Saccharomyces cerevisiae S288C: one gene and its partners. Changing the gene in region 2 together with the main gene of any one other region gives a genetic interaction. Each region holds a gene or a part of one and is shown on either strand. Other genes may lie near its edges. The genes, in order: RPN13, HFL1 and MCH5.

Evidence for each region.
Region 1: mutations in HFL1 (region 2) and RPN13 together harm fitness more than expected from each alone (negative genetic interaction), as found in Saccharomyces cerevisiae (one large-scale study listed by BioGRID).
Region 3: mutations in HFL1 (region 2) and MCH5 together harm fitness more than expected from each alone (negative genetic interaction), as found in Saccharomyces cerevisiae (one large-scale study listed by BioGRID).

What each region holds. Positions count from the first base shown.
Region 1 is NC_001144.5:964,472-967,465, forward strand, and holds RPN13 (proteasome regulatory particle lid subunit RPN13), read right to left. Parts: upstream 1,090-2,994; coding exon 619-1,089; downstream 1-618. Other genes in the region: URA4 (dihydroorotase), read left to right, coding at 1-408; guanine nucleotide exchange factor DCK1, read left to right, coding at 1,426-2,994. UniProt on the Saccharomyces cerevisiae protein: Component of the 19S cap proteasome complex which acts as a regulatory subunit of the 26S proteasome, involved in the ATP-dependent degradation of ubiquitinated proteins.
Region 2 is NC_001143.9:529,073-532,789, reverse strand, and holds HFL1 (Hfl1p), read right to left. Parts: upstream 1,845-3,717; coding exon 588-1,844; downstream 1-587. Other genes in the region: MRS4 (Fe(2+) transporter), read left to right, coding at 1-240; TRK2 (Trk2p), read right to left, coding at 2,306-3,717. UniProt on the Saccharomyces cerevisiae protein: Vacuole membrane protein that recruits ATG8 to facilitate the degradation of vacuolar integral membrane proteins during early-stationary vacuole turnover (EVT) when cells enter stationary phase.
Region 3 is NC_001147.6:889,321-893,257, reverse strand, and holds MCH5 (riboflavin transporter), read left to right. Parts: upstream 1-1,825; coding exon 1,826-3,391; downstream 3,392-3,937. Other genes in the region: SLY41 (Sly41p), read left to right, coding at 1-527; RRG7 (Rrg7p), read right to left, coding at 3,508-3,937. UniProt on the Saccharomyces cerevisiae protein: Riboflavin transporter involved in riboflavin (vitamin B2) uptake. Does not act in the transport of monocarboxylic acids across the plasma membrane.

The DNA of each region.
Region 1 (2,994 bases), on a different chromosome or scaffold from region 2:
AAACCTGTTGCGAAACTTCCAAATGACAAAAAGGCTCTAGTCAAAGCTGCTGTATCAGGGAAACCATATTTTTTCTTTGGATCTGATTCAGCACCTCATCCTGTACAAAATAAGGCCAATTACGAGGGTGTTTGCGCAGGAGTTTACTCACAATCTTTTGCGATCCCTTATATCGCCCAAGTTTTTGAAGAGCAAAATGCCTTGGAGAACTTAAAGGGCTTTGTTTCCGACTTCGGAATTTCCTTTTATGAGGTTAAAGATAGCGAAGTGGCTTCTTCAGATAAGGCAATATTATTCAAAAAAGAACAAGTTATCCCTCAGGTTATCAGCGATGGCAAAGACATAAGCATCATCCCATTTAAAGCAGGTGATAAACTAAGTTGGTCGGTGAGATGGGAACCTCGTTAATATGCAACAATATGTAGGCTCATTTGAGAGTATAGACCATATATACATATTTATGGGAAAAATAAACTTACCTTCCAATAGAAGTTATAGATGCCATCATCATGCCTATTGTTATGGTCCGTATCTCTTTACAGAAGTTCACAGCCAAATGCGTTGATATGGTATATTTTTTCTCTTCAGTTTTTTATCAAAAAATGCCACAACCTTGATTTAATCTTGCATACTAACATCCACATCTTGAGCTTTTTGCTTTTCGTCATTGCTTTCTTCCTCATCACTTTCACTACTATTATTCAGCACTCCAATCATCTTATTGTAAATTTCTTTATCTTTCGCACTCAATTCATTTAAGGGCAAATTACCTGAGTTCTTCTCTTGCAGCCAAAAGAAGTACCTTTCGTTGGATGAAAAAACTAAAGCAAATATTCTGCCACTTTTACTGGATTTTATTGGAACCCACATGGTCTCTCCAGGAATTAAAATCAAAGAAATAGGATCAAGTTCCCTCCCGACCGGCTTTTCCGTTGGACGCCACTCGAAATCCCAAAATCCCAATTCTTCCTCTTCATTTGGTTTGATCTCGATTTCACCCTGAACTGGAATTGGCGTACATAGACGTGAATCTTCGTTGTATTCACAAACACCAGCCCTGAATTTAATTACAGTTGAACTCATACTCATCAACACTCTTTTAAAATTTATAAGTCAACCAGCACTTAGGTAGTTTTCTGGCACCCTTATAGAACCTAATCTACTGGTCATAGTAGAGTATTTAGTAGCAAAGCTTTCGCCACCTCGCGAATAATATATCACGAAATACGGAGGAATTTTAACTGAAATATATCAATAACGCATATCAAGGAGGGGATGACTTGATGAGTTGAAAATAATATAAATGGTTCAAGCAACCGTTTGTACACCACTCAGTCAATTATTGCTTCAATTGAAATTATAGAGGACCGAAGATTAGTCATATAAAACAGGGGTCTTTTTTTCTTTAGGGAGATTACTATTACAATGTCGCAACAGGATTCACAGCGCTGGCTGCCCACGGATCGGCTAATATATGGTGTGCTAGTCAAATCTTTCCTTCCCTTACAAAGGTATCCTGAGCTGGTATATGAAAACAGCAATTATGCGAACGTTTATGTGGGTGCAGAAGTTTACGTCTTCGAAGAATCTGTGGATAAGAAATGGTGTAGAGCGTACCAATGTTTACGACCCTTTCCTGAAGAATTCATATCGAATATGAACTCGGCGAATGATGTACTGCCAGACGTGAAACCGAAAGTAGTGATATTTCCTAGAAAATATGTTCATTTTGAAGCAGAAAAAGCCGTCAGCACAATGCCATTTTTCAAAGCACCTAGTGCTGAGGATTTTAAACCATTGATAAGTAAAGAATGTGAGTCCCGCTCCTTTTGTGACAGCCTATATGTTAGCTCTACTGATGATATATCAACTGGTAAACCAAGAAAGACACCGAGACCTCCGTTCCCCTTTTTCAGATACCAAAAGAGGTCCTTTAAGGACGAAATGGGTCCTATATTATCTCTTATTTCCTCGCATGTTTACTCTATGTATTCAATTGGCGAGTTTTCTATATATAGGAAAATGATAAAACTTTATTATGATTTGGACACTATACGATTTAGATTGTCTATGAATTTAACCACAGAGGCTGAGAAAATAAATCTGATAAGAGCAGCAACATCCCTAAGAACTAAAATCGCAAAATTTTTGTCCTCCACATACAGGAAGAATAAACTAATTGCTAACTCTACTCCAAGAAACCCAGATCCTTATGGTTTCGAAGGAATTTTTGCCAGGGATATTGATACTGGCGAATTGCTCTCATACGAGATCGACAAATTAAGAACTTTAGTGTCATCGTCAATGCTTTGTGGTTTAACTAATAATTTTCCTACTGTACCTGTGGTAGAGTCCGATGATGAGTCCTCATCTAACGGACTATTCGGCACAGTTAGATCGAGCATTTTGGTTAACTTGAAAGATCTGGCATGGGATCCCTCTATATCAGATCCTAAATATCAAGATCTTTCTATTTGTGTATACTTGAGAACCAAAGACGAAGTTTTAACAGAGTCTTTTACCATGACGAAGTCGTCCAATATGGAATCAGCTCTAGATGAAATTCCTGCAATGTTATTCAAGAATATTTTGGAAACGATAGTCCATAAAAATAAAGTATACTTAGTAGTAGTGCTGAAGGAAACAATAGCAATTACAACAGAAACTGCTCCGGAAATTTCATCTTACAATATATCTACCGAAGAGTCAAGTTCACATTCCCCATTTTCTCCATTTAATTCATCGACTGAGAATAAGATTGACCACGTAAAAAAGGGCTTAGCTGCCGGAGTTATTAACATATCTCCGGTATTCAAGTTTTATAACGGCCTATCAGTTGCGAATAAAGCTCAGAGGTTTAACCTTTATCTTTATAGCTCCGATTCCTCGGATTCGCAAAACTTCAACTCTTCAAAGGATGCGGATTTAGGTTGGGGCGGGTTAATAAATAAGATAATAAAAGATTCTTCTGAAGGCGTTTCTGTGAACCCTAGG
Region 2 (3,717 bases):
TTAACTACACCGTTGGATTGCATAAAGACTGTATTACAGGTTAGAGGCAGCGAAACTGTCTCCATCGAAATAATGAAGGATGCGAACACTTTTGGTAGAGCCTCAAGAGCCATACTGGAGGTTCATGGTTGGAAGGGGTTTTGGCGAGGTTTGAAACCAAGGATAGTGGCTAATATACCAGCCACTGCCATTTCTTGGACTGCATATGAATGTGCTAAGCATTTTTTAATGAAAAATTGATGTTTTTTCCCCTTTTCGAGGTCAACTTTTTTTGACAACTTATAAAAGGCAAGGCCAAAATGCATTGGTGGTGGTGCTGTTGCTGCTGCTGCCACTTTTGTTGCTGCAAAAGACAAGTCCAATGGTAATAATAGAAAAATAATAATAATGGTGATATCGTCCAACTCCCACTCTGCATATATAGCCAATCCTCCGGCAAAAAATTACAGTAGCATTTATTTCATTTTATTAGAATAAGCATCCAAGTTACAATAATTGAAAAAAAAGCATTGCTTGTAGATGTTGTTTTATTTTGTATATAACCGAAAGCGCAGTAACTATGTATATACGTACATTTAACGACTCATTTAACAAGCCATTGATGACCTACTTTGAACATCTCTTCTTAAATCATTCATTGATCTACTATATCGATGGCCCATCGTGTAGTCGTGAACAACCGGATAATTTGGATCCTCAGGAAAAGTTCTCTGACCAGCAATATCATCTTCCCATGATTCCTCTATTGATTCCGGAACAAGGTTGTTATCTATACTCCCATATGCCACCCAATAACTATTTCTTCCATTATCAGTAAATCTTAGCCCATGCTTTAGTCTTTCCATAGTCGCACCGGATTGTTGTCTAGTGCTTAATAGATCCATGGCTTCAGGATCGAAGTTCCTATAATTATAGTACAAGGGACCAGCAAACAAAGTCTGTTTAAAATCCCATATTAGATCACCGCAACCAAGAAAATCTTTCAAAGCGTAAATGAATTTCATCCTGGCCCCATAAGGTATGCTAAATGCTGTGTATTTGTTCCAAGGGAAAGCTACTGCATGCAAGATGGCGAAAGGCACCATCTCTATACACAGGAGCCCATTCTTGTACACATATCCAGAGGTTCGATCTTGGTTTCCCGTACCCAACTTTCCAGTAACCACTAGACCCTGGATTATGATGCTCTGCCAATAAGAGGCAAAAATAATCAATTTGACACATAAAAATTTCAACCATGGTTTATAAGGAGTTAATTCCGGATAGAGACACTTCCAAAATAGTGCTAAACTATACAGTGACCAAGTCACTGAAATATTATAAAAAACGTTCAAAAATATTTCGAATTTGGGTAGCTTCCATGCACTGCATATCAATGTACCAAAACAATAAAATGGTTTGAACCAAACATACTGTAATATGCCTTTTTTGACAAAAAGAAAATCAAAAGGATCAGATAAGTCTATCGGTTTGCAAATTTTACCTATTAGCGGTATCGGATGTCTTGTGGGGGCGTGATTTAAGCTTAAAACAGTAATGATGTTCCTCTCGCCTCCTAGTAGTAGTGTTAAAAATGTGAAAAAAGTGTAAATAACGAATGCTTCATAAAATTCTCTGATAGGATCGACATAAAATTGAGCTGCTTCAGGCTTAATTATGCCACTTGCGCATGACACACTAAAAATGGGCACGAGCAATAGTATCCGTATGGATAGTCTTTGTTCATATGGTTTACGGTAATTTAATAAGTGTCTAGTTATGGTGTAAAAAGATATTATGGTAGCTATAATAGATGAATACACGCATGGCCAGTACAACCACCAACAAAGTAGTTTGTTTTCCATAACAATTATGTTTCTATACTTTTGTGATTGTACTGTCGCAATTCACTTTTCACTCAAACCTTTGCTTAGGTCGTAACTTGGCAGATGCTTCTAGTGGACCTGTTGATGGCTTTGGTTGGTTATTATTATTATTATTATTCTGATCTGAAAGTGGTTTAGATCTCGTTTTCTGCCTTTTTTCGTAGGGGACAAAATGCAATTCAATTGTGAAAAATACAATAAGTAAAAAGAGGGAAAAAAAATGAACTAAAATTTTTCTAGAATAGTCAGAAATCAAAAGTATATTACGGATAGGATTCGTTGTGCTTGTTGAATCGTAGTGGTACACCTTTTAGGGTCTTAATCTTTCTTATTTTTCTTTTATATTTCGTTAAAGAATAATAAACTTCGGAGATAATACATATAATACTGAGAGAAAATTACGTTGGCTCTTATGTAGGTAAAGAGGGGTAAACTTGATTTTAATGCTTCCCCCAAAACTTTGTTGCTATTTTTTTCAGTTTGTGGGATCTCTTTTTGACGTAAGTAGTCATTGGATCCTCACCAACTTTGGCTAACAACTTACCCTTAGCTTTCATATCTTGTAAACGATCAATTTGTTCCAGTTTGTCACTTGGCAGCATGATGGCACGATCCAAAGTGTATGGTAAACCTCTATTTCTTCCTCTTATTAGCATGGCAATTATGACTAGCTTCGATAATACGGTGAACTGGGCAGATAGTGATGTGTTGGTGTTTGGGTAACCCAATGACAAACCCACTGTACCATAAGCGCTAACAACTTCAAACAATATAGCAAAGACATTGAAATCAGGTTTATTAACGTCTTCGATTTTTCTGCCCTCGCATATGCATATTATAAATAATCCAAGGAATAGGTACCATAAATCAAAAGAGAGTTGCCTCCTCAAATGAGCACCAACAAACGATTTTGGGGACTGTTTCTTCGGCTTGGACTTTGTAGATACAGTGTCTCGCTCTTCGGATTCGCCATCATGGTCTGTTTCCTTTATATCGTCTTCGTGGGTGATATTTTCGTCATCTTGTCCACTATCGTATAGTCCCAACGATTGCTCCTCATAAACATTCGTTCTTCTAATGGAAATCGCCAGCGGCAGGACCGAAACGTACATCATTAGCATATAAGACACCTGAATGGACGGGTGTAATTTACTTAAGTCAACAACGTTGAATCCAGCAGTTCTTGTGCATACAGACTGGAAGAGGCCCATGAGAGCTCGATAACCTTTAGCAACCTGCCTTACTACAGCGGAGTTGAAATCCAGAATTATGAAAAGAATCCAATCCGTAGCGTTTAAGACGACTAAAGTTGTAAACAGCCACCATGTGGGGCCGCTGGGGAACAGCAACGTAAAACACCTGCGCGGATGATCCAAGAGAAACCCAAGACTTTCCTTAAACTGAGATAGGTCTCTCGAGGTCTTGAACATGATCCAAATGATAAATCGTAACATAATTGGGAAGCCTGTATTGCCTATGATGATGAAGAACATCATGAAAATCAGCGGATACGGCGCAGTATCAAAGGAAACCATTGAATCAGCGGTCAAAGACAGACCCAAGTTGCTGAATGCACTCATTGCAGTGAAAAACCCCCACCAGGTTGGAGAAACTCCATTTCGTCTAATAATCTCTGAGTAGTGGTGCCTCGTACAGGCCCATGGAACGATGGTCACAAACGCCAAAATGTTGAATCCGATGTAGTATACCATGAGAATGCAGCACAGCAATCTCAAAGCACGATATTCGACACCGCCGAGTTCCTCCTTTTGTTGCTTTGTGAGTCCAATGAAGACGGAGTTTCTGCCAAAGGTTGGCTGCCACGATAGATAGTTGGTGCTCATTGTTCTGG
Region 3 (3,937 bases), on a different chromosome or scaffold from region 2:
CCATGATAATATTTGTAGCACAGAATATTTTTGCAAAGAATATTTTAACCATCAGAAGGAAGGTAGGAATACTGCCGTCTTCTTCTACGGATGACGTCACGTCGAAGGAAGGGCAACCGAGTCTAGACAAAACAAGATTTTCTCCATTGCAAGTGGATAAGATTACCATATTGTTCTACTGCTCCTGCATTGGGTTTTCTTTAACCCTATTACCTTTTTTAACCGGCGAATTAATGCATGGCGGTAGCGTTATCAACGATTTAACGCTAGAAACAGTAGCCCTTGTAGCGATTCATGGAATAGCCCATTTTTTCCAAGCAATGCTTGCTTTCCAGTTGATCGGTTTACTATCTTCCATTAATTATTCGGTAGCAAACATCATGAAGAGGATTGTTGTTATATCCGTGGCACTCTTTTGGGAAACAAAGTTAAATTTTTTTCAGGTGTTTGGTGTTATCTTGACAATTGCCGGATTGTACGGTTATGACAAATGGGGGCTTTCCAAAAAAGATGGACGTCAGGCATAATATGAAGTAATACTATTGAGTACAAACCATCATTCAAGGTAGGACACTTAGTACTATATCAAATATATAATCAAAAAAAAAACCCTCGAAGGTCTTTTTTATCTTATTTACTGCTACTACCTCTGTTGCTAGCATTACTTCAAGATCCTAAACTGTTACCCCACCCCCGCACCATATCAAGGTTAAAAATCCGATGTGGCGGTACTTATTTGGTTATTTATCTCATTTACATTAATATGCGTACGGGAATGGCCTTCCGCTCCGTGGAGGATAAAGTGCGGTCATTTTATTATTTTTCGAAAACAATGGCTACAATCCCTTGATTATCTCACATGCGATTACAAAGCAAAAGAGAAGATTCGCATGCAGGAGCCATACACGCGTCTTTTTTAAGGTATTTCCACGATCTCGCGGAAAAACTTATAGAACGAACAACTATTGCTTTAACTAGGAAAGAATAAGAAAAAATAGCGATCATACTAGAACCCACAGTCGAGGCACAAGGATTTTGAGGATTGCTCTACCCCTAATGCCTATTGCTTCGATTGCTGAAAGCGGATCTACTCCTTTTTCCAAGTACTCGAAAGGTTGAGAGAAATAAAAATAGACTAGTCGACGGACAATGCCAATAAAGTTTGGTTATACGAACTGCTTTAACCAAATTAATATTGGACAGACTCCGTGTTTTTTGGTTTTGCCCTTTTTTCCCGCTAGAACGACATTGTGTTTCTCCAAAATTATTCCATCTTTTCCCTCGTGTTAACAATAGAGTCACAACGCACCTGTTATTATGATCTCGGGGGTGGCTTCCCGAACATCGTCGGTTGAATACTGCGCTTTGGCGTCCGAAAAAGAAAAGATAGGAAAGGATCGAATTTTTGACATTTTTCTCAACCTGCTGCGCGCTGTTCTATAGACGTTTGAGGCACCTGAAAAAGAAATACAGCGGAATAATTACTGTTCTGCTGAATCGCCCTAGGCGGTATTGTATGAGGCTAATAATAGAGAGACATCTCTGAAAAGAAACTAGAGGAAAATTTTTCAAAAATATCTATTTTGCTCAGAGAAATGAATATAATAAAGAAGCTATTTGGTTAGATCTCCCAGTAGTTACGGGGACTAGATATATAAACTGCTTGATGTACGTTTGGAAATTCTCAAATAGCAATTCTCTCTTCAAAGTTAGTGAAGGATAGGTTATATCTGTAAAAACATACTAAGATCTGAATAACTAAGATCACGGGGGCATACTATCGATTAAAAAGCTCTGATTTTACTATAGATTAAAAAGAAAAATAATGAGCTCAGACAGTTTAACGCCTAAAGACACTATAGTTCCAGAAGAACAAACCAACCAACTGCGGCAACCTGATTTAGATGAGGATAGCATACATTATGATCCAGAAGCTGATGATTTAGAGTCATTAGAGACTACTGCCTCTTACGCGTCAACGTCGGTGTCGGCAAAGGTGTATACCAAGAAGGAAGTAAATAAAGGAACTGACATTGAAAGCCAACCACATTGGGGTGAAAATACCTCGAGCACGCACGACAGTGACAAAGAAGAAGATTCCAATGAAGAAATTGAAAGCTTCCCGGAGGGTGGATTCAAGGCTTGGGTTGTGACATTTGGTTGCTTCTTGGGTCTAATTGCATGCTTTGGTTTATTAAACTCAACGGGGGTCATAGAAAGTCATCTACAGGACAATCAATTATCCAGTGAAAGTGTTTCTACCATTGGTTGGCTGTTTTCTTTGTTTCTTTTTGTTTGCTCTGCCTCATGTATCATTAGTGGTACTTACTTTGATAGAAATGGATTTAGGACAATTATGATTGTGGGCACGGTTTTTCATGTAGCCGGTCTGTTCGCTACCGCCAACTCTACTAAATATTGGCACTTCATACTGTCCTTTGCCATTGTCTGCGGGTTCGGTAATGGTATTGTACTGAGTCCCCTAGTAAGTGTTCCCGCCCACTATTTTTTTAAGAGACGTGGTACTGCATTGGCAATGGCCACTATTGGTGGTAGTGTGGGTGGCGTCGTTTTCCCAATTATGTTGCGTAGTTTCTTCTCTATGAAGTCAGACACTGATCCAACTTATGGATTTGTTTGGGGCATTAGAACTTTAGGATTTTTAGATTTGGCTTTGCTAACTCTGTCAATCATTTTAGTCAAAGAGAGGTTACCACATGTTATCGAAAATTCCAAAGATGGTGAGTCACGTTGGAGATACATACTCAGAGTTTATATTCTGCAATGTTTTGATGCGAAGGCTTTCCTGGATATGAAATATCTTTTTTGTGTCCTGGGAACGGTATTTAGTGAGTTATCCATTAATTCAGCTCTTACTTATTATGGATCATACGCCACCAGCCATGGAATTTCTGCTAATGACGCCTACACCTTGATTATGATTATAAATGTCTGCGGCATACCCGGGAGATGGGTTCCTGGCTATTTGAGCGATAAGTTCGGTAGGTTTAACGTCGCAATTGCAACTCTACTCACTCTATTTATCGTCATGTTTGTTGGTTGGTTACCATTTGGTACCAATTTGACAAATATGTACGTTATTAGTGCCCTATATGGATTTTGTTCTGGAAGCGTTTTCTCCTTACTTCCTGTTTGCTGTGGCCAGATATCTAAAACGGAAGAGTTCGGTAAACGTTACTCTACAATGTACTTCGTTGTCGGTTTCGGTACTTTAGTCGGCATTCCGATAACAGGTGCCATTATCTCTATCAAGACAACGGCCGATTACCAACACTATATTATTTTTTGCGGTTTGGCAACTTTTGTAAGCGCTGTTTGCTACATAATTTCGAGAGCATACTGTGTTGGCTTCAAGTGGGTCAGATTTTAAAAAGTAAGACAGTGCCCTTTATAGATCTTCAAAAAAGTAATGCAATAATATTTTCTTTTAGGAAATGTGTAGATAGACTATTTAATTAAAATTTCCTTATGTTTTTTTTTTTTTTTTTATTTTTCCGAATTAAAGTCACTATTTTTGTACAACTTCAACTTCAGCCATTCAGAAATCTTGCAATCTTGCATTAACGTAGAGGCGTATGAATTCTCGTAATAATTAATTAGTTTTCCTGAATTGATTAAGTCAAAGTGCCCGTCAGTCTTCTCTTTCAGCATCTCAACACGTAAATATATCAGAGGAAGCGTGATGTTATTGATAAGATTTAAGGTATCTTTTGTTAACATATGAGGGGAACACATAATGCATACTGTTTTGTTGCGTTGACTATGTGATACTAGTGAGGTGAATGTTCCTACTAACTCACGGAATTCTCTAGGAGATAATTTTGATTTAGTGAAAGCCTTACATTGGACTAGTACTTTCAATGGTTCAAAAGTATGGTCGATTATCCTATACTTTAAAGGTTTCAATACGAAGCCA